Linked DNA regions of Saccharomyces cerevisiae S288C. The gene in region 3 interacts genetically with the main gene of each other region. Each region holds a gene or a part of one and is shown on either strand. Other genes may lie near its edges. The genes, in order: UBP3, FPS1, FKS1 and CRZ1.

What was found.
Region 1: mutations in FKS1 (region 3) and UBP3 together harm fitness more than expected from each alone (negative genetic interaction), as found in Saccharomyces cerevisiae (5 studies listed by BioGRID, with this or other methods).
Region 2: mutations in FKS1 (region 3) and FPS1 together harm fitness more than expected from each alone (negative genetic interaction), as found in Saccharomyces cerevisiae (5 studies listed by BioGRID, with this or other methods).
Region 4: mutations in FKS1 (region 3) and CRZ1 together harm fitness more than expected from each alone (negative genetic interaction), as found in Saccharomyces cerevisiae (5 studies listed by BioGRID, with this or other methods).

The regions. Positions count from the first base shown.
Region 1 is NC_001137.3:469,177-474,444, reverse strand, and holds UBP3 (mRNA-binding ubiquitin-specific protease UBP3), read left to right. Parts: upstream 1-2,020; coding exon 2,021-4,759; downstream 4,760-5,268. Other genes in the region: PET122 (Pet122p), read left to right, coding at 1-404; YER152C (2-aminoadipate transaminase), read left to right, coding at 457-1,788. UniProt on the Saccharomyces cerevisiae protein: Has an ATP-independent isopeptidase activity, cleaving at the C-terminus of the ubiquitin moiety in natural or engineered linear fusion proteins, irrespective of their size or the presence of an N-terminal extension to ubiquitin.
Region 2 is NC_001144.5:48,346-52,455, forward strand, and holds FPS1 (Fps1p), read left to right. Parts: upstream 1-1,592; coding exon 1,593-3,602; downstream 3,603-4,110. Other genes in the region: 60S ribosomal protein eL8 RPL8B, read right to left, coding at 1-284; ATG10 (E2-like conjugating enzyme), read right to left, coding at 3,742-4,110. UniProt on the Saccharomyces cerevisiae protein: Channel protein for glycerol. Has a role in both glycerol influx and efflux. Plays a role in osmoregulation: under osmotic stress the channel is apparently closed to allow accumulation of glycerol in the cell under hyperosmotic conditions.
Region 3 is NC_001144.5:808,147-816,017, forward strand, and holds FKS1 (1,3-beta-D-glucan synthase), read left to right. Parts: upstream 1-1,850; coding exon 1,851-7,481; downstream 7,482-7,871. Other genes in the region: SPO77 (Spo77p), read left to right, coding at 1-672; YLR342W-A (uncharacterized protein), read left to right, coding at 7,664-7,837. UniProt on the Saccharomyces cerevisiae protein: Alternate catalytic subunit of the 1,3-beta-glucan synthase (GS) complex. Synthesizes 1,3-beta-glucan, a major structural component of the yeast cell wall. Involved in cell wall synthesis, maintenance and remodeling.
Region 4 is NC_001146.8:577,648-582,116, reverse strand, and holds CRZ1 (DNA-binding transcription factor CRZ1), read right to left. Parts: upstream 2,538-4,469; coding exon 501-2,537; downstream 1-500. Other genes in the region: SAM complex subunit SAM50, read right to left, coding at 1-197; KTR5 (putative mannosyltransferase), read left to right, coding at 3,344-4,469. UniProt on the Saccharomyces cerevisiae protein: Involved in the regulation of calcium ion homeostasis. Binds to the calcineurin-dependent response element. Transcriptionally regulates PMC1, PMR1, PMR2A and FKS2.

The DNA.
Region 1 (5,268 bases), on a different chromosome or scaffold from region 3:
TTGAGTATGAGCTTAGACGGATTAAAGTCGAAGCGTTTGCGCGTGGCACAATGCACTCCACGGCGCTCAGGGAAAAGTGGAAGGTATTCTTGCAGGAGATGGATACGCTACCAGGGCAGCCGCCATTAAGGCTGCGCGACTTCCCGCAAATGACCAAGGCTATGGGCATAGCATTGATGCAGCAAGATGAGCAAGCAGCTGCCCTGGCGTTGTTTGGACGACAGCCCCTAGTGATAAAGAACGAATGGTCACTACCGCTACTACTGGCTGGTGTCCTTTGGCATGTTCCCGGCCCAGCGCAGGCGCGACGTGTGCTGGCGGAGTTCCGTCAAAGTTATCGCGGGCTGCCGCTGCTGGATGCCGAACTAGTGATAAAGAGAAGAGGATTTGAAATCAACACATAAATCTGGGTGGAGCATCGCTGTAACAAGGAACAACGCGTGCTAGCAAGCGGTAATGAAATACAAGGAAATCAATTTCTTCAAGGGCCATCCGAGCTCGAGGTTGCTGCCTCGAGAAGCAGTAATTCAAGCGACTGCGGCTATATTGGGGCCCGAGACCAGGGAGTACGATAACGACCCCTATAACAGGCATCCGCTGACGTACGGTTCGGACGAAGGTGCCCTGTGGGTGCGAGAGCAGATTTGTACGTTTCTGAATGATCAGCTGTTTAAGTTCGAAAATGGGGCTCGGAGCAGGACACGGGCAGACTATTTGAATCTGAATAGCGGCGCTTCGTATGGCATGCTGAACATCCTTCTGCAAACAACCTTGCCACATAACGGGTATACCAGGCAGGCGTTCATCATCACGCCAACATATTTCTTGATCAACAATTGCTTCACAGATGCGGGATTCAAGGGGAAAATGACCGCCATCAACGAGCAGGGCCACGACTCGATTGATTTCGAGTCGTTGATTTCTGCCCTTGAGCAGCACGAGGCGGAGCCGCAGCCCCATAGTACCACAGAGATGATTCAGGGGCCAAAGTTGACCAAGAAGGTCTACAGGTACGTTATGTACTGCATCCCGACGTTTGCAAACCCATCGGGAAACACATACTCGCTTGAGACCAGACGCAGACTTATCGACATCGCTCGGAAGTACGACATGCTGATAATCACTGATGACGTGTACGATATTCTAGATTACACGACGCCCTCAGATGAGCTGCCCTCTCCGCCCCTAAGGATGGTGCACATAGACAGAAGTACAGCGCCCTCCGGTGAGGACTCGTTCGGGAATACAGTGTCCAACGCAACTTTCTCCAAGCTGATCGCCCCTGGGCTCAGATTTGGATACCATGAGTCAATCAACGCGAATCTCGCCAGACAGCTATCTAAAGGTGGTGCAAACGTCTCTGGCGGAACTCCCTCACAACTGAACTCCATGATCGTGGGTGAGATGCTGCGTAGTGGTGCCGCCCAGAGATGCATTGCACATCTGAGATCCGTATACTCCGAGAGGGCCACTGTCTTGACCTCGGCGCTTAAGAAATACATGCCCCTAGGAACCGAGATTATGCCATTGAAGGGCGGCTATTTTACTTGGATCACTCTCCCACCAGCGTACAATGCCATGGAGATATCCACTATTCTTGCCAAGAAATTTAATGTCATCCTTGCCGACGGCTCCAATTTCGAGGTCATCGGCGATGAGAAAAACTGGGGTCAGTCATGCTTTAGGCTTTCTATTAGTTTCTTAGAAGTTGATGATATCGACAGGGGCATTGAGCTGTTTGGTGCTGTTTGCAAATCTCATGCGATCACCAATAACATAACTATGTAGAAGGAATACGTATATAGGTGAACGGTAATAAGAGGGTAATTTTTCTACGGGCAAAGGCAAGGAAGAAAAAGAAAAAGAAGGAAAAAAATATAATGTGATAAAACAAACAAGCAGCGAAAAAGCGAAAGGGAAGAGAAGTGTTTCTAGAGAAGAAAGTCATTTTAATAGTAAGTCAGACTCGTCTGCTACCATCATCCAGGTACCGCTTTCCTTTCCATCATCATTAAAAAAAATGAACATGCAAGACGCTAACAAAGAAGAGTCGTACTCGATGTACCCGAAAACCTCTTCTCCACCACCACCTACGCCAACCAATATGCAGATTCCTATTTATCAAGCGCCTTTGCAGATGTACGGCTACACTCAGGCCCCATATCTATACCCCACACAAATACCTGCCTATTCGTTTAATATGGTCAACCAAAACCAGCCAATCTACCATCAAAGTGGCAGCCCACATCACTTGCCTCCGCAAAACAATATTAACGGCGGAAGCACTACCAATAACAACAACATTAACAAGAAGAAGTGGCACTCTAATGGCATTACCAATAACAATGGAAGCAGCGGTAATCAAGGCGCCAACTCTAGCGGTAGCGGCATGAGCTACAACAAATCCCACACCTACCATCACAATTACTCTAACAATCATATCCCCATGATGGCCTCTCCAAACAGTGGCAGCAATGCGGGCATGAAAAAACAGACCAACTCTTCCAACGGCAACGGTTCTTCGGCTACTTCACCATCGTACTCTTCCTACAACTCTTCTTCACAGTATGATTTATACAAGTTTGATGTCACTAAATTAAAGAATCTCAAGGAAAATTCATCAAACTTGATTCAATTGCCACTGTTCATAAACACTACGGAAGCAGAATTTGCTGCGGCAAGTGTCCAAAGGTACGAATTAAACATGAAGGCTTTGAACCTAAACTCTGAAAGCTTAGAGAACTCATCTGTAGAAAAGAGCTCTGCCCATCATCACACAAAAAGCCATAGTATACCAAAGCATAATGAGGAAGTAAAGACAGAAACACATGGGGAAGAAGAAGATGCTCATGATAAAAAACCACATGCGAGCAAAGATGCGCACGAGCTTAAAAAGAAAACTGAAGTAAAGAAAGAGGATGCTAAGCAAGACCGTAACGAAAAAGTTATACAGGAACCTCAAGCTACTGTTTTACCTGTAGTGGATAAGAAGGAACCAGAGGAATCTGTTGAAGAAAATACTTCCAAGACATCTTCACCTTCACCATCTCCTCCAGCAGCAAAATCCTGGTCCGCCATAGCATCAGATGCGATTAAAAGTAGACAAGCTAGTAACAAAACAGTCTCCGGATCGATGGTCACTAAAACACCAATTTCTGGTACGACCGCAGGCGTTTCATCAACAAACATGGCTGCGGCGACTATAGGTAAATCCAGCTCTCCCCTGTTGTCCAAGCAGCCTCAGAAAAAGGATAAAAAATACGTTCCACCTTCTACAAAGGGTATTGAGCCACTGGGTTCGATTGCGTTAAGAATGTGTTTTGATCCCGATTTCATTAGTTACGTTTTACGGAATAAAGATGTTGAAAACAAAATACCAGTCCATTCCATTATTCCAAGAGGCATAATTAACAGAGCCAACATTTGTTTTATGAGTTCTGTGTTACAAGTGTTACTCTACTGTAAGCCATTTATTGATGTAATTAACGTTCTCAGTACACGGAATACCAATTCAAGAGTCGGCACATCATCCTGTAAATTATTAGATGCTTGTTTGACTATGTATAAGCAATTCGATAAGGAAACCTATGAGAAAAAATTCCTAGAGAATGCTGATGATGCTGAAAAAACCACGGAAAGTGATGCAAAAAAATCATCAAAATCCAAGAGTTTCCAACACTGCGCCACTGCCGATGCTGTCAAACCTGACGAATTTTACAAAACTTTGTCTACTATACCGAAGTTCAAAGACTTGCAATGGGGCCATCAGGAAGACGCAGAAGAATTTTTGACCCACTTATTGGACCAATTACACGAGGAATTAATTTCTGCAATTGATGGCTTAACCGATAATGAAATTCAAAATATGCTGCAAAGTATTAATGATGAACAATTGAAAGTTTTCTTTATTAGAAATTTGTCACGTTATGGAAAAGCAGAGTTTATCAAAAATGCTAGTCCTAGACTGAAGGAGTTGATAGAAAAATATGGCGTGATCAATGATGACTCTACCGAAGAAAATGGTTGGCATGAAGTGAGCGGATCTAGCAAAAGAGGCAAGAAAACTAAGACCGCTGCCAAGAGGACTGTCGAGATTGTTCCATCACCAATCTCCAAACTTTTCGGTGGCCAGTTCAGATCTGTGTTAGATATACCGAACAATAAGGAATCTCAATCGATTACACTCGATCCGTTCCAAACAATTCAATTGGACATTTCAGATGCTGGTGTGAATGATCTAGAAACTGCATTCAAAAAATTTAGTGAATACGAATTGCTACCCTTTAAGTCCTCGTCAGGGAATGATGTCGAGGCCAAGAAGCAGACTTTTATTGATAAATTGCCGCAAGTTCTTTTAATCCAATTCAAAAGATTCTCATTCATAAATAATGTGAACAAAGACAACGCAATGACGAACTATAACGCGTACAATGGACGTATTGAGAAGATCAGGAAAAAAATTAAATATGGTCACGAGTTAATCATACCTGAAGAATCAATGTCTTCCATAACATTGAAAAACAACACCTCAGGGATTGATGATAGAAGATATAAGCTAACCGGAGTTATATACCATCATGGGGTAAGTTCCGATGGCGGTCATTACACAGCGGATGTTTATCATAGCGAGCACAACAAATGGTATAGAATAGATGATGTAAATATTACCGAACTAGAGGACGATGACGTTTTGAAAGGTGGCGAAGAAGCTTCTGATTCGAGGACTGCCTATATTTTAATGTATCAAAAGAGAAATTAAGACGGGGGGTGGTATTATAGACAAAATACATAAAAAATAATATAGCAATAATACAATACAATACAATACAATACGATAGTGAGCACGATTTTAAAAAAGAAATAGAGACAGACAGAGAAACAGAGTTACACTTTATGCTTGGCATATTTAAAAAATGATTTCGCCCAGGATCGAACTGGGGACGTTCTGCGTGTTAAGCAGATGCCATAACCGACTAGACCACGAAACCAATTATTTCTTGGAGATGAACATTTAAGAAACAAATACCTTGTAGAAGGAATGTGAATTTCAAAATATTATGGCCTTTGGCAACAATGGAATCACAACAATTATCACAAAACTCATACATCTCTTAAGATTCATTTCTTACTTTAAGTAATCATCCAAATTTAGCCAAAGTTTGATTTTACCTAAAAAAAGCAGAGGATTCCCGATTTCAATCATATGTGCACAGACGATGAGTCCAACACGTTATCGTTAACATAGTGCTCAATATTGCCACTGCGCTT
Region 2 (4,110 bases), 760 kb from region 3:
TTGAACAACTTGAAGGTTTCAGCAGCGGTGTTTCTGTCCAAAGTGTATTGGAATTGAGCAATGGTTGGAGGAACCTTCAATCTGATGGACAAGATCTTCTTTTGTCTTTGCAATCTGACATATTCTGGCCATTTGACGTATCTGGACAAGTTTCTCTTTGGTTGGACAGCTTGGCCAATACCGAAGTTCTTTGGAGTAGAGTGAGTCAATGGGTTCTTAGCCTTGTTAGACTTAGTGGACTTAGCACCGAATGGAGCTGGAGCAACTTTCTTACCTGGAGCCATCTTTTCTTTCAGTTATCGTGTTCACTGTATTGAAAAACAGATATAAAAAAAAAAAATAGTGAATTTCAACGTGCGCATCACAATACTTATGTCTTGATAATAATATCGATCCCATACTATTGTCCCTGGATTTTGAGATGGGAAAAGTTTCAATGCGTTCTATCGTATAGTATGATGTATTCAAAAAAAATGCGATAATTCTTTAGTTGTCGGCACTTCGGAAGCCAAAAAAAAAAAAAAAAAAAAAAAAGAAAAAAAGAAAAGGGTGTCTAAGATGTACGGATCTTCATTGGGATGGAAAACAGGCAAGTAAAAAGAATAGTAATTATTACAATGGAGAAGATAAGATAAAGTTAGCGGCAACAAATAAAGAACTCATCAGAGTTCTTGGCTTCTCTATGAGTGAAAGTGTTTCAAAGGTGTTTTTTTATGAGACAACAGTAATTCCCCTCCTTCAGAACAGAGTGTAGTGATTGGCAGTGAAGCTATCCCTCTTTGCCACCCAATTTTGACGGCAGTTCTCATAGCATCTCAAAGCAATAGCAGTGCAAAAGTACATAACCGTAGGAAGGTACGCGGTAGGTATTTGAGTTCGTTGGTGGTTATCCTCCGCAAGGCGCTTCGGCGGTTATTTGTTGATAGTCGAAGAACACCAAAAAAAATGCTGTTATTGCTTTCTCCGTAAACAATAAAACCCGGTAGCGGGATAACGCGGCTGATGCTTTTATTTAGGAAGGAATACTTACATTATCATGAGAACATTGTCAAGGGCATTCTGATACGGGCCTTCCATCGCAAGAAAAAGGCAGCAACGGACTGAGGGACGGAGAGAGTTACGGCATAAGAAGTAGTAGGAGAGCAGAGTGTCATAAAGTTATATTATTCTCGTCCTAAAGTCAATTAGTTCTGTTGCGCTTGACAATATATGTCGTGTAATACCGTCCCTTAGCAGAAGAAAGAAAGACGGATCCATATATGTTAAAATGCTTCAGAGATGTTTCTTTAATGTGCCGTCCAACAAAGGTATCTTCTGTAGCTTCCTCTATTTTCGATCAGATCTCATAGTGAGAAGGCGCAATTCAGTAGTTAAAAGCGGGGAACAGTGTGAATCCGGAGACGGCAAGATTGCCCGGCCCTTTTTGCGGAAAAGATAAAACAAGATATATTGCACTTTTTCCACCAAGAAAAACAGGAAGTGGATTAAAAAATCAACAAAGTATAACGCCTATTGTCCCAATAAGCGTCGGTTGTTCTTCTTTATTATTTTACCAAGTACGCTCGAGGGTACATTCTAATGCATTAAAAGACATGAGTAATCCTCAAAAAGCTCTAAACGACTTTCTGTCCAGTGAATCTGTTCATACACATGATAGTTCTAGGAAACAATCTAATAAGCAGTCATCCGACGAAGGACGCTCTTCATCACAACCTTCACATCATCACTCTGGTGGTACTAACAACAATAATAACAATAATAATAATAATAATAACAGTAACAACAACAACAACGGCAACGATGGGGGAAATGATGACGACTATGATTATGAAATGCAAGATTATAGACCTTCTCCGCAAAGTGCGCGGCCTACTCCCACGTATGTTCCACAATATTCTGTAGAAAGTGGGACTGCTTTCCCGATTCAAGAGGTTATTCCTAGCGCATACATTAACACACAAGATATAAACCATAAAGATAACGGTCCGCCGAGTGCAAGCAGTAATAGAGCATTCAGGCCTAGAGGGCAGACCACAGTGTCGGCCAACGTGCTTAACATTGAAGATTTTTACAAAAATGCAGACGATGCGCATACCATCCCGGAGTCACATTTATCGAGAAGGAGAAGTAGGTCGAGGGCTACGAGTAATGCTGGGCACAGTGCCAATACAGGCGCCACGAATGGCAGGACTACTGGTGCCCAAACTAATATGGAAAGCAATGAATCACCACGTAACGTCCCCATTATGGTGAAGCCAAAGACATTATACCAGAACCCTCAAACACCTACAGTCTTGCCCTCCACATACCATCCAATTAATAAATGGTCTTCCGTCAAAAACACTTATTTGAAGGAATTTTTAGCCGAGTTTATGGGAACAATGGTTATGATTATTTTCGGTAGTGCTGTTGTTTGTCAGGTCAATGTTGCTGGGAAAATACAGCAGGACAATTTCAACGTGGCTTTGGATAACCTTAACGTTACCGGGTCTTCTGCAGAAACGATAGACGCTATGAAGAGTTTAACATCCTTGGTTTCATCCGTTGCGGGCGGTACCTTTGATGATGTGGCATTGGGCTGGGCTGCTGCCGTGGTGATGGGCTATTTCTGCGCTGGTGGTAGTGCCATCTCAGGTGCTCATTTGAATCCGTCTATTACATTAGCCAATTTGGTGTATAGAGGTTTTCCCCTGAAGAAAGTTCCTTATTACTTTGCTGGACAATTGATCGGTGCCTTCACAGGCGCTTTGATCTTGTTTATTTGGTACAAAAGGGTGTTACAAGAGGCATATAGCGATTGGTGGATGAATGAAAGTGTTGCGGGAATGTTTTGCGTTTTTCCAAAGCCTTATCTAAGTTCAGGACGGCAATTTTTTTCCGAATTTTTATGTGGAGCTATGTTACAAGCAGGAACATTTGCGCTGACCGATCCTTATACGTGTTTGTCCTCTGATGTTTTCCCATTGATGATGTTTATTTTGATTTTCATTATCAATGCTTCCATGGCTTATCAGACAGGTACAGCAATGAATTTGGCTCGTGATCTGGGCCCACGTCTTGCACTATATGCAGTTGGATTTGATCATAAAATGCTTTGGGTGCATCATCATCATTTCTTTTGGGTTCCCATGGTAGGCCCATTTATTGGTGCGTTAATGGGGGGGTTGGTTTACGATGTCTGTATTTATCAGGGTCATGAATCTCCAGTCAACTGGTCTTTACCAGTTTATAAGGAAATGATTATGAGAGCCTGGTTTAGAAGGCCTGGTTGGAAGAAGAGAAATAGAGCAAGAAGAACATCGGACCTGAGTGACTTCTCATACAATAACGATGATGATGAGGAATTTGGAGAAAGAATGGCTCTTCAAAAGACAAAGACCAAGTCATCTATTTCAGACAACGAAAATGAAGCAGGAGAAAAGAAAGTGCAATTTAAATCTGTTCAGCGCGGCAAAAGAACGTTTGGTGGTATACCAACAATTCTTGAAGAAGAAGATTCCATTGAAACTGCTTCGCTAGGTGCGACGACGACTGATTCTATTGGGTTATCCGACACATCATCAGAAGATTCGCATTATGGTAATGCTAAGAAGGTAACATGAGAAAACAGACAAGAAAAAGAAACAAATAATATAGACTGATAGAAAAAAATACTGCTTACTACCGCCGGTATAATATATATATATATATATATTTACATAGATGATTGCATAGTGTTTTAAAAAGCTTTCCTAGGTTAAGCTATGAATCTTCATAACCTAACCAACTAAATATGAAAATACTGACCCATCGTCTTAAGTAAGTTGACATGAACTCAGCCTGGTCACCTACTATACATGATGTATCGCATGGATGGAAAGAATACCAAACGCTACCTTCCAGGTTAATGATAGTATCCAAACCTAGTTGGAATTTGCCTTGAACATCAAGCAGCGATTCGATATCAGTTGGGAGCATCAATTTGGTCATTGGAATACCATCTATGCTTTTCTCCTCCCATATTCGCAAAAGTAGTAAGGGCTCGTTATATACTTTTGAATATGTAAGATATAATTCTATATGATTTAGTAATTTATTTTCTATACGCTCAGTATTTTTCTGCAGTTGTCG
Region 3 (7,871 bases):
TGGGTCGAAACGTTGATAAAGAACATAAACTTATTACAAATGTTTGATGCAGATTTGAAATGCTACAATGACAAGTACATAATTTGCAAGCTAAAGGGTCAGTATCCCTCCACAAATATAGTGGACATAATGTGCCGTTTGAAGCATTTTTCCAATTCTATTTTGGAAACTTTCAAATTCGGAATCGAGCTAAAAGAACAAGATCAATGCCACAATAGAAACACTATTATCAACTACGTTCTTTTCAGTAGAGTATTTTCAACGATTGTTTTAGAGATTCAAAAATGCTTTATCTTGATCGTTAAGTTCATGTATTCTGTCAATTTTTTAGAAAAATTTTCCGATGAAGTATTTTTGTCATTTATTGAAATTCTCATAAAAATTGTCTTTGAGCACCAGATTCCGCAGTTATTTTTGGGAATTGATGAAATTATTCAACTCTGGTTAAAGAACAATGAAGGAAAACGGCAACAACTCTTGAGCGCTTGGTGCAACGGAACTGTTCAAGATATGAAGCAAAGCCAACAAAGAGAGTCCTCAAACGCAGAATCTGAATCAATCACTTCAAGTACAGAAGAGGACGAAGAAGGCCTCCAATTCAATAAATGGGATGTGATTGAACCATTTATTGATAATATCAAGGCTTTGAATCAATCAAAATCCCATATGTGACGCAGCGATAAAACCGCGGCATGCAAACATCTACACAATTAGCAAGGGCAATCCATATTTTGTCTTTTCGCGCCCTGGAAAGGCCTAAGTAATGTCGTAAACGCATTCTATCTGTACTTCAACTCTCCTCTGTGCATTGGTTTGTGCAAATCACATTTTACGATACTGCCAGATTTATGCAAAAAGAGAAAACCAAGGGACCAGAACAAAGCAAAATTACGATAAACTTCGAATTCCTTCGTGCTTGACTAAGACAAAGGGATGGACGTAGCGATTTTTAGCGGGCCAAGAACTGGTTCCGAAAAAGCACAGGTACACCGAACCCTCAGCTAAGGAGGGACAGCACCGATGCGGAAGGACAAACTTTCTTTTTGCCTATCACAGTATCTTATCGAGCTAACTATTTTCGACACACATGAAAAAGCAGAAATATTAACGAAAAAGAAAAGAAAGACCATGTCATGTACGGGCAATCAGAATCTGTAACAAGCGCCATTTTTTTTTCTGTATCGGGCCCTCCTTACTGCTCTCCTTCCGTGTAACGCGTTATGAAACTCTAATCCTACTATCGGCGACTCTCTCGAAATTTTTCTTAACGCGTCCTTGTACTGCGTCTAACGCTTTTGCCACTTGGATTTCTATTATAGGAAATAGTCTCACTTACTGGGCGACGAATTTTCGCGTTTTGATGAAGCACAGGAAGAATTTCTTTTTTTTTTGGCTTCTTCTGGTTCCGTTTTTTACGCGCACAAATCTAAAAAAAGAAATAATTATAACCTAGTCTCGAAAATTTTCATCGATCCATTCGTTCCTTTTTTTCGATTTTTTCAGATCAAAATTCTTGTTTCTTTCTTTGTCTTAGTTTATATTAAAAGATATTTTGATTTTACTCCTGAACTATTTATTCTTTCTAAGAAGGCCAGAACACTACAGCTGTTTTAACCGACTACGAAGTTCTCCATTCTCGAACACTAGCCTTCATTTACCAAACAGGAACTAGCGTATATCATTAGTCCTTATTCGAAAAGAGATTGGTAGATATTTATTGTAGTTTGTGAGAAGGAGAAAATACTGTCATTGGACTGATAGTTAGAGGACATTAACCTCTCTTACGTTCGCTCAAAAAAATTAAAATAAGCAAGTAGCTGAAATCAAGTCTTTCATACAACGGTCAGACCATGAACACTGATCAACAACCTTATCAGGGCCAAACGGACTATACCCAGGGACCAGGTAACGGGCAAAGTCAGGAACAAGACTATGACCAATATGGCCAGCCTTTGTATCCTTCACAAGCTGATGGTTACTACGATCCAAATGTCGCTGCTGGTACTGAAGCTGATATGTATGGTCAACAACCACCAAACGAGTCTTACGACCAAGACTACACAAACGGTGAATACTATGGTCAACCGCCAAATATGGCTGCTCAAGACGGTGAAAACTTCTCGGATTTTAGCAGTTACGGCCCTCCTGGAACACCTGGATATGATAGCTATGGTGGTCAGTATACCGCTTCTCAAATGAGTTATGGAGAACCAAATTCGTCGGGTACCTCGACTCCAATTTACGGTAATTATGACCCAAATGCTATCGCTATGGCTTTGCCAAATGAACCTTATCCCGCTTGGACTGCTGACTCTCAATCTCCCGTTTCGATCGAGCAAATCGAAGATATCTTTATTGATTTGACCAACAGACTCGGGTTCCAAAGAGACTCCATGAGAAATATGTTTGATCATTTTATGGTTCTCTTGGACTCTAGGTCCTCGAGAATGTCTCCTGATCAAGCTTTACTATCTTTACATGCCGACTACATTGGTGGCGATACTGCTAACTATAAAAAATGGTATTTTGCTGCTCAGTTAGATATGGATGATGAAATTGGTTTTAGAAATATGAGTCTTGGAAAACTCTCAAGGAAGGCAAGAAAAGCTAAGAAGAAAAACAAGAAAGCAATGGAAGAGGCCAATCCCGAAGACACTGAAGAAACTTTAAACAAAATTGAAGGCGACAACTCCCTAGAGGCTGCTGATTTTAGATGGAAGGCCAAGATGAACCAGTTGTCTCCCCTGGAAAGAGTTCGTCATATCGCCTTATATCTGTTATGTTGGGGTGAAGCTAATCAAGTCAGATTCACTGCTGAATGTTTATGTTTTATCTACAAGTGTGCTCTTGACTACTTGGATTCCCCTCTTTGCCAACAACGCCAAGAACCTATGCCAGAAGGTGATTTCTTGAATAGAGTCATTACGCCAATTTATCATTTCATCAGAAATCAAGTTTATGAAATTGTTGATGGTCGTTTTGTCAAGCGTGAAAGAGATCATAACAAAATTGTCGGTTATGATGATTTAAACCAATTGTTCTGGTATCCAGAAGGTATTGCAAAGATTGTTCTTGAAGATGGAACAAAATTGATAGAACTCCCATTGGAAGAACGTTATTTAAGATTAGGCGATGTCGTCTGGGATGATGTATTCTTCAAAACATATAAAGAGACCCGTACTTGGTTACATTTGGTCACCAACTTCAACCGTATTTGGGTTATGCATATCTCCATTTTTTGGATGTACTTTGCATATAATTCACCAACATTTTACACTCATAACTATCAACAATTGGTCGACAACCAACCTTTGGCTGCTTACAAGTGGGCATCTTGCGCATTAGGTGGTACTGTCGCAAGTTTGATTCAAATTGTCGCTACTTTGTGTGAATGGTCATTCGTTCCAAGAAAATGGGCTGGTGCTCAACATCTATCTCGTAGATTCTGGTTTTTATGCATCATCTTTGGTATTAATTTGGGTCCTATTATTTTTGTTTTTGCTTACGACAAAGATACAGTCTACTCCACTGCTGCACACGTTGTTGCTGCTGTTATGTTCTTTGTTGCGGTTGCTACCATCATATTCTTCTCCATTATGCCATTGGGGGGGTTGTTTACGTCATATATGAAAAAATCTACAAGGCGTTATGTTGCATCTCAAACATTCACTGCTGCATTTGCCCCTCTACATGGGTTAGATAGATGGATGTCCTATTTAGTTTGGGTTACTGTTTTTGCTGCCAAATATTCAGAATCGTACTACTTTTTAGTTTTATCTTTGAGAGATCCAATTAGAATTTTGTCCACCACTGCAATGAGGTGTACAGGTGAATACTGGTGGGGTGCGGTACTTTGTAAAGTGCAACCCAAGATTGTCTTAGGTTTGGTTATCGCTACCGACTTCATTCTTTTCTTCTTGGATACCTACTTATGGTACATTATTGTGAATACCATTTTCTCTGTTGGGAAATCTTTCTATTTAGGTATTTCTATCTTAACACCATGGAGAAATATCTTCACAAGATTGCCAAAAAGAATATACTCCAAGATTTTGGCTACTACTGATATGGAAATTAAATACAAACCAAAGGTTTTGATTTCTCAAGTATGGAATGCCATCATTATTTCAATGTACAGAGAACATCTCTTAGCCATCGACCATGTACAAAAATTACTATATCATCAAGTTCCATCTGAAATCGAAGGTAAAAGAACTTTGAGAGCTCCTACCTTCTTTGTTTCTCAAGATGACAATAATTTTGAGACTGAATTTTTCCCTAGGGATTCAGAGGCTGAGCGTCGTATTTCTTTCTTTGCTCAATCTTTGTCTACTCCAATTCCCGAACCACTTCCAGTTGATAACATGCCAACGTTCACAGTATTGACTCCTCACTACGCGGAAAGAATTCTGCTGTCATTAAGAGAAATTATTCGTGAAGATGACCAATTTTCTAGAGTTACTCTTTTAGAATATCTAAAACAATTACATCCCGTTGAATGGGAATGTTTTGTTAAGGATACTAAGATTTTGGCTGAAGAAACCGCTGCCTATGAAGGAAATGAAAATGAAGCTGAAAAGGAAGATGCTTTGAAATCTCAAATCGATGATTTGCCATTTTATTGTATTGGTTTTAAATCTGCTGCTCCAGAATATACACTTCGTACGAGAATTTGGGCTTCTTTGAGGTCGCAGACTCTATATCGTACCATTTCAGGGTTCATGAATTATTCAAGAGCTATCAAATTACTGTATCGTGTGGAAAATCCTGAAATTGTTCAAATGTTTGGTGGTAATGCTGAAGGCTTAGAAAGAGAGCTAGAAAAGATGGCAAGAAGAAAGTTTAAATTTTTGGTCTCTATGCAGAGATTGGCTAAATTCAAACCACATGAACTGGAAAATGCTGAGTTTTTGTTGAGAGCTTACCCAGACTTACAAATTGCCTACTTGGATGAAGAGCCACCTTTGACTGAAGGTGAGGAGCCAAGAATCTATTCCGCTTTGATTGATGGACATTGTGAAATTCTAGATAATGGTCGTAGACGTCCCAAGTTTAGAGTTCAATTATCTGGTAACCCAATTCTTGGTGACGGTAAATCTGATAACCAAAACCATGCTTTGATTTTTTACAGAGGTGAATACATTCAATTAATTGATGCCAACCAAGATAACTACTTGGAAGAATGTCTGAAGATTAGATCTGTATTGGCTGAATTTGAGGAATTGAACGTTGAACAAGTTAATCCATATGCTCCCGGTTTAAGGTATGAGGAGCAAACAACTAATCATCCTGTTGCTATTGTTGGTGCCAGAGAATACATTTTCTCTGAAAACTCTGGTGTGCTGGGTGATGTGGCCGCTGGTAAAGAACAAACTTTTGGTACATTATTTGCGCGTACTTTATCTCAAATTGGTGGTAAATTGCATTATGGTCATCCGGATTTCATTAATGCTACGTTTATGACCACTAGAGGTGGTGTTTCCAAAGCACAAAAGGGTTTGCATTTAAACGAAGATATTTATGCTGGTATGAATGCTATGCTTCGTGGTGGTCGTATCAAGCATTGTGAGTATTATCAATGTGGTAAAGGTAGAGATTTGGGTTTCGGTACAATTCTAAATTTCACTACTAAGATTGGTGCTGGTATGGGTGAACAAATGTTATCTCGTGAATATTATTATCTGGGTACCCAATTACCAGTGGACCGTTTCCTAACATTCTATTATGCCCATCCTGGTTTCCATTTGAACAACTTGTTCATTCAATTATCTTTGCAAATGTTTATGTTGACTTTGGTGAATTTATCTTCCTTGGCCCATGAATCTATTATGTGTATTTACGATAGGAACAAACCAAAAACAGATGTTTTGGTTCCAATTGGGTGTTACAACTTCCAACCTGCGGTTGATTGGGTGAGACGTTATACATTGTCTATTTTCATTGTTTTCTGGATTGCCTTCGTTCCTATTGTTGTTCAAGAACTAATTGAACGTGGTCTATGGAAAGCCACCCAAAGATTTTTCTGCCACCTATTATCATTATCCCCTATGTTCGAAGTGTTTGCGGGCCAAATCTACTCTTCTGCGTTATTAAGTGATTTAGCAATTGGTGGTGCTCGTTATATATCCACCGGTCGTGGTTTTGCAACTTCTCGTATACCATTTTCAATTTTGTATTCAAGATTTGCAGGATCTGCTATCTACATGGGTGCAAGATCAATGTTAATGTTGCTGTTCGGTACTGTCGCACATTGGCAAGCTCCACTACTGTGGTTTTGGGCCTCTCTATCTTCATTAATTTTTGCGCCTTTCGTTTTCAATCCACATCAGTTTGCTTGGGAAGATTTCTTTTTGGATTACAGGGATTATATCAGATGGTTATCAAGAGGTAATAATCAATATCATAGAAACTCGTGGATTGGTTACGTGAGGATGTCTAGGGCACGTATTACTGGGTTTAAACGTAAACTGGTTGGCGATGAATCTGAGAAAGCTGCTGGTGACGCAAGCAGGGCTCATAGAACCAATTTGATCATGGCTGAAATCATACCCTGTGCAATTTATGCAGCTGGTTGTTTTATTGCCTTCACGTTTATTAATGCTCAAACCGGTGTCAAGACTACTGATGATGATAGGGTGAATTCTGTTTTACGTATCATCATTTGTACCTTGGCGCCAATCGCCGTTAACCTCGGTGTTCTATTCTTCTGTATGGGTATGTCATGCTGCTCTGGTCCCTTATTTGGTATGTGTTGTAAGAAGACAGGTTCTGTAATGGCTGGAATTGCCCACGGTGTTGCTGTTATTGTCCACATTGCCTTTTTCATTGTCATGTGGGTTTTGGAGAGCTTCAACTTTGTTAGAATGTTAATCGGAGTCGTTACTTGTATCCAATGTCAAAGACTCATTTTTCATTGCATGACAGCGTTAATGTTGACTCGTGAATTTAAAAACGATCATGCCAATACAGCCTTCTGGACTGGTAAGTGGTATGGTAAAGGTATGGGTTACATGGCTTGGACCCAGCCAAGTAGAGAATTAACCGCCAAGGTAATTGAGCTTTCAGAATTTGCAGCTGATTTTGTTCTAGGTCATGTGATTTTAATCTGTCAACTGCCACTCATTATAATCCCAAAAATAGATAAATTCCACTCGATTATGCTATTCTGGCTAAAGCCCTCTCGTCAAATTCGTCCCCCAATTTACTCTCTGAAGCAAACTCGTTTGCGTAAGCGTATGGTCAAGAAGTACTGCTCTTTGTACTTTTTAGTATTGGCTATTTTTGCAGGATGCATTATTGGTCCTGCTGTAGCCTCTGCTAAGATCCACAAACACATTGGAGATTCATTGGATGGCGTTGTTCACAATCTATTCCAACCAATAAATACAACCAATAATGACACTGGTTCCCAAATGTCAACTTATCAAAGTCACTACTATACTCATACGCCATCATTAAAGACCTGGTCAACTATAAAATAATACAATCAATACTTGCTTGAACGCTTGATTTTACTGATATTCTATCCAAAAGCAAGTAGACCAGAAACTCTCAAGATGTTGCAAATACCGTTCGATGTTTTTGGTTTAGATTGTTTTAATGTTGATGCTTTTTTACTTATTTTTGGAAGCGTCTTTTTAATTTAGTTTTATATTATAGGTATATGAATGTGTTTATGCCAATAAGGGTTTTTTTGTACAGTTATGTGATTATAAACAGTCTTTTGTCTAGTTTTTTTCACCAGTATCGGCCTCTATTTATAAAAAACGGAGCAGCTTTCGGTGTCAGTAATTCTGAAAAAATTTGTGTCACTCTGATTGTAAATGAATTAATTTAGCTAGATAGTTGCGAGCCCCAACGAGAAGATTGTC
Region 4 (4,469 bases), on a different chromosome or scaffold from region 3:
TTCACTAGCTGCCCCAAAGTAATGGATTTCATAATAGTATCATCTAAGTATGCCTGTAGTACGCTAGGGTCGATATGATCTGTCCCTGTTGTTACTACACCCGCAACCCTAATTGGCTTTAAAGTAGAACTCTCATTGAAAATTGGCATCGGGCTGTCTAAGGAAATCTCATTATCAACACCAGATGATGAGGTCATGTTGAATTGAGCTACTTTTGTCTATTTGGCATCAAAACTTTTGCCACGTAAAACGCATCCTCATACAATAACTTTTTGTTACTTGCCATTATTTTCGGCAGCTTAGAAAATTCAGACGGGCGTAAAAACTATTAATCCGTAAGAATATCACTGTTTTATACTATTTCATTACAAAAACAATAACCAAATAATACCTTTGCATGGATTAGATTAGCCATAATTTCTACACTGTCATTATGAAATTACATATTTATTATATAGAAAAAAAAAATTCCTATTCAAAGCTTAAAAAAACAAAAATAATTAACTCTCTTGTCCCGATTTCTCCTGTCTGGCTTCTTCGTACAAGGGAGTGATGCATCTTCTACCACTTTCAGTTTTAAAATGCCTACCAAGAGCATCACTTCTTGCAAACTTTTTGCCACAACCCCAGGGTTTACCGTCCTTCAGCTTACCACCGCATACATACCTTTTCTTACCTGTATGCAAATCTTCGTGTCTCTTTCTATCATGTTGACGTGCAAACGCCTTACCACAAATAGAACAAATAAATGGCCTTTCATTTGTATGCGTTCTTAAGTGTGACTTTAAGTTATAAGGTCTTGTAAACTTCTTACCACATACATCACAAGCAAAATTCGCAGGATTTTTCCTATTATTTGTTACACTGTCTAGTTTTTCTAGATTGTCATTTTTCTTAACAGAAAATGTGCCATTATCGTTATTTTCGTGATTATCATCATTTTTGAAACCAACTTTCTGCTCAAATTGGCCCAAGCTATCTATGTCTAGAAGTATGCCAAGATCTTTGCTAGTGTCATCTAGTTCATTTTTAATATTGACAATGCCCGATTCAATTTTTGGTTTACTTGTTAACAAATTGTTATTATTATTATCCTCATTAAAATTGCTACTGTTAATGGTGTTATAGCTAGTTTTGCTATCATTGTCATAGCGCTCCCGATTATTGTCATTTTCACTGGATGGTAAAAGATCTGCCATCTCCAATAACTTTTCCCTATTTGCACTTATAGATTTAGCTTTTTCATCGGGAGATATGCTTCTTGATCTCGAGGATCTCCTGCTAGTGAAACTATTATTGGAAGTTTGAGAAGATCTTCTTCTTGATTTTTTAAGTTTCAATTTTCGACCGTTAATGATATCTTCGAAGGAGCGGTCAATATCACTGAGAGCTTCGTTGTTGTAATCATTATCATCTGGACGAAGTAGATTGTTATTGTTAGTAGCGCTATAACTTTCGTTATCCCGAACTTTTAGTTGTAACGTTCCGTCATCTTCGTTTTTAACTGGGAAGTGTCCCTCATTGAATTCCTGTATAGAAATGATGGGTGTTACCGGGGCAGCATGAGTGGAAGGAGAAGGTGTGGAAGAAGTTGGAATAGTCAATAACATCTTTTGGTTAGTACCGACTTTACTTTTATTAATGGCAATGGTACTGTTTTGAGTGTCAGCGGTATTAATAATTCCGTTATTACTGTTGTTGAAATCACTGTTGTTTGATGCTGATAAAAGGTTATTGTCTGAATATGTTAAAGATAGCAAGTCATCCAACTCATCAAGGTTTGAAATATGTTTATAACCATGTGAATTTACGGGCAGTAAATAATTTGAGTTCATAGATGCGACGCTCAAAAGATCGTCAAAATCATCGTTATTCGCGGTTAAGTGAGACATCGCAGGTGAAGAAACTAAGTCCTGTGGATACAAATAAGGCGTATGATAGTTTGATTCTGTATCGCTATAATTGGAGTCAATGCCCGAGCTCCTAGTGGTACCATCGTAATTAGATCTTGGAGATAAAAACTGGTTTGTGAGGGATGGCCGATGTTGATTATCAGCAGGTGTTAAGATATCGTCCCACTGAAATGTATCAGATTGTTCGACTTTTAAAGTTGGTGTTTGCTTCTGCTGTTGCTGTTGTTGTTGCTGTTGCTGTTGCTGTTGCTGTTGTAACTGTTGCTGTTGTAACTGTTGCTGTGGAAGATCTGGTTTGTATAGACTTTGGTAATTCAAATCTGCAGAATAAGAACCGCTTGACGGAGACAGCAAGCTGTTCACGTTAGAATCAAATGAGTCCGGGATGCCAGAGGAAAGGTTCTTTGATATTTTCTCCGATGAATTGGCGGAATCCATCCTCATATCCACATCTAAGTCCAAGTCCGATAATTGGAACGTATGTGATCCTGAATTGCTACTATTCCTGAAATTATTACGTCTGTAAGCGCTGTTATCGTCTATATCGTTTTTGTTGTTTATACTTTGCTCCTCTCCATTACTACTAGTCATGTAGGAAGCCATATTTCCGTTGCTGAATGACATCTTCCTTGTACTGTCTGACGAAACTTCCAATCGAGACTAAAAATACAACCTAGTTTTACTCGCGTTCAGAGTGTATAATCGTACTAAACTGCTGTGATGGCTATTGCCTGCTCTTTTGATTGTACTTTATCTAGCACTTCACAAGGTTTATAAACTCAATATCGGACTAATATGATAAAAAAAATTCAGGTGGGAAAAGTGAGAGGGTAGGCAAGAAGGTCGAAAGGAAAACAAAAAAACGTATCGCTGATATATAGCTCGCTCATGCAAGGCACAAATACAGGGGTAGGGTCCTCGACGTAGTAGACATTCTGCTTCTATAGATATTAATTAGTATAATGTTATTCAAGATAGCTTAGCAATTGTTAAATGCGCGGATGTACTTTTCAGCCCCCAACAGAGGGGCGAAGTTGCAACTAAGCTAAAGTGCAGTCAAAGCTGGAGCTCAACTGCTAACATAATAAGATGTGACTATAGTGCGCCTGGCAAGTTGCATGTTGCACTATATTACGACCAGTAATTTCCCTTGCCGAGCATATATGCCAATTGCCATTACGTGGGATATGGAAGAGGTGGGGTGCTTTTAGGTATTTGCTTTTTCTCTCATTTTTTGGATAGTACACTTTAAGCATGCGGTGTGTGGATGATGCCAAGAAAATTGAAAAATTTGGGCAGGCATTCGAGAAAGGGTCTTCAAAAAAATGCGAAGTAGTAGATATGAGTGCTTCCGTGCACAAATAGTCTTGTTCAATGGAGGTGTCATCAATAAATGTGTCTCAATACGGCACATCGTCATAAGGTAGCAGATGTTGCTAATAAGAAGGACGATAAATGCATTTCTGGGATGTATCCATTGCAATCTTACGGCGACGTGCATCCTGATTGCCTTCGTCATAACCATGTATGTGGTACTTGTATCTGAGCCTGCATCCGTAGACGGAACTATGGGAAATTTTCTTCCGTTTTCCAAGATGGATCTTGCGACGAAGAGGGACAGACCCTTTTATTCGAATTGTGTGAATACTCAGGACTATTTGTTGAATCCATCGTACATCAAGCAGAATGCCTCGTTTGTCATGCTAACAAGGAACGGGGAGCTAGAAGATGTTATCAAGACTATCAACAGTATAGAAGAGCATTTCAATCAGTGGTTCCACTATCCATATGTGTTCTTAAATGACCAGCCGTTTGAAGAGGACTTCAAAGCAAAAGTACGTGATGTTACAGTGGGCGCGCTGGTGGAATTTGGCACTATCGATGAGATATCTTGGAATTTTCCCAGTGACGTAAAGGATACGTTCGAGTTCTACAACGCAATTGAGGATCAAGGTGATAGAAGCATACTTTACGGAAACTTAGAATCATATCATAAGATGTGCCGGTTTTATTCAGGATTATTTTACAAGCACCCGCTAGTACAGAAGTACGAATGGTATTGGAGATTGGAACCCGATGTTGAGTTTTTCTGTGATATTACCTACGATCCCTTTTTGGAGATGCTCCGAACTAATAAGAAATATGGATTTACGATCATCATCCCCGAATTGTATTGGACAGTCCCAAATTTGTTTAGACACACTAAAAGCTTTATCAGTCAAAAAGGCGTTACGCTTGGGTCATTATGGAAACTATTTACAAAGGATTACGACATTTTTGAATCCGATGATCCGGAGTTACGGGACTGGATCAACTATGATTTTCAGGCCAAGGCTAAGATATCCGAAAAGATAGCCATCGAGCAGCTTTTGAAAAAGGGTGATGATTTCCAACAGATAAATGATGACAAAGAGGGAATAATGAATTTGATACATAAGGCTCGCTCTAGGAAGCATATCGTAGAAGACAAATTTTTCAATGAAGAGTACAATCTATGCCATTTCTGGAGTAATTTTGAGATTGCGCGGCTAAGCGTGTTCGACAATGACATTTACA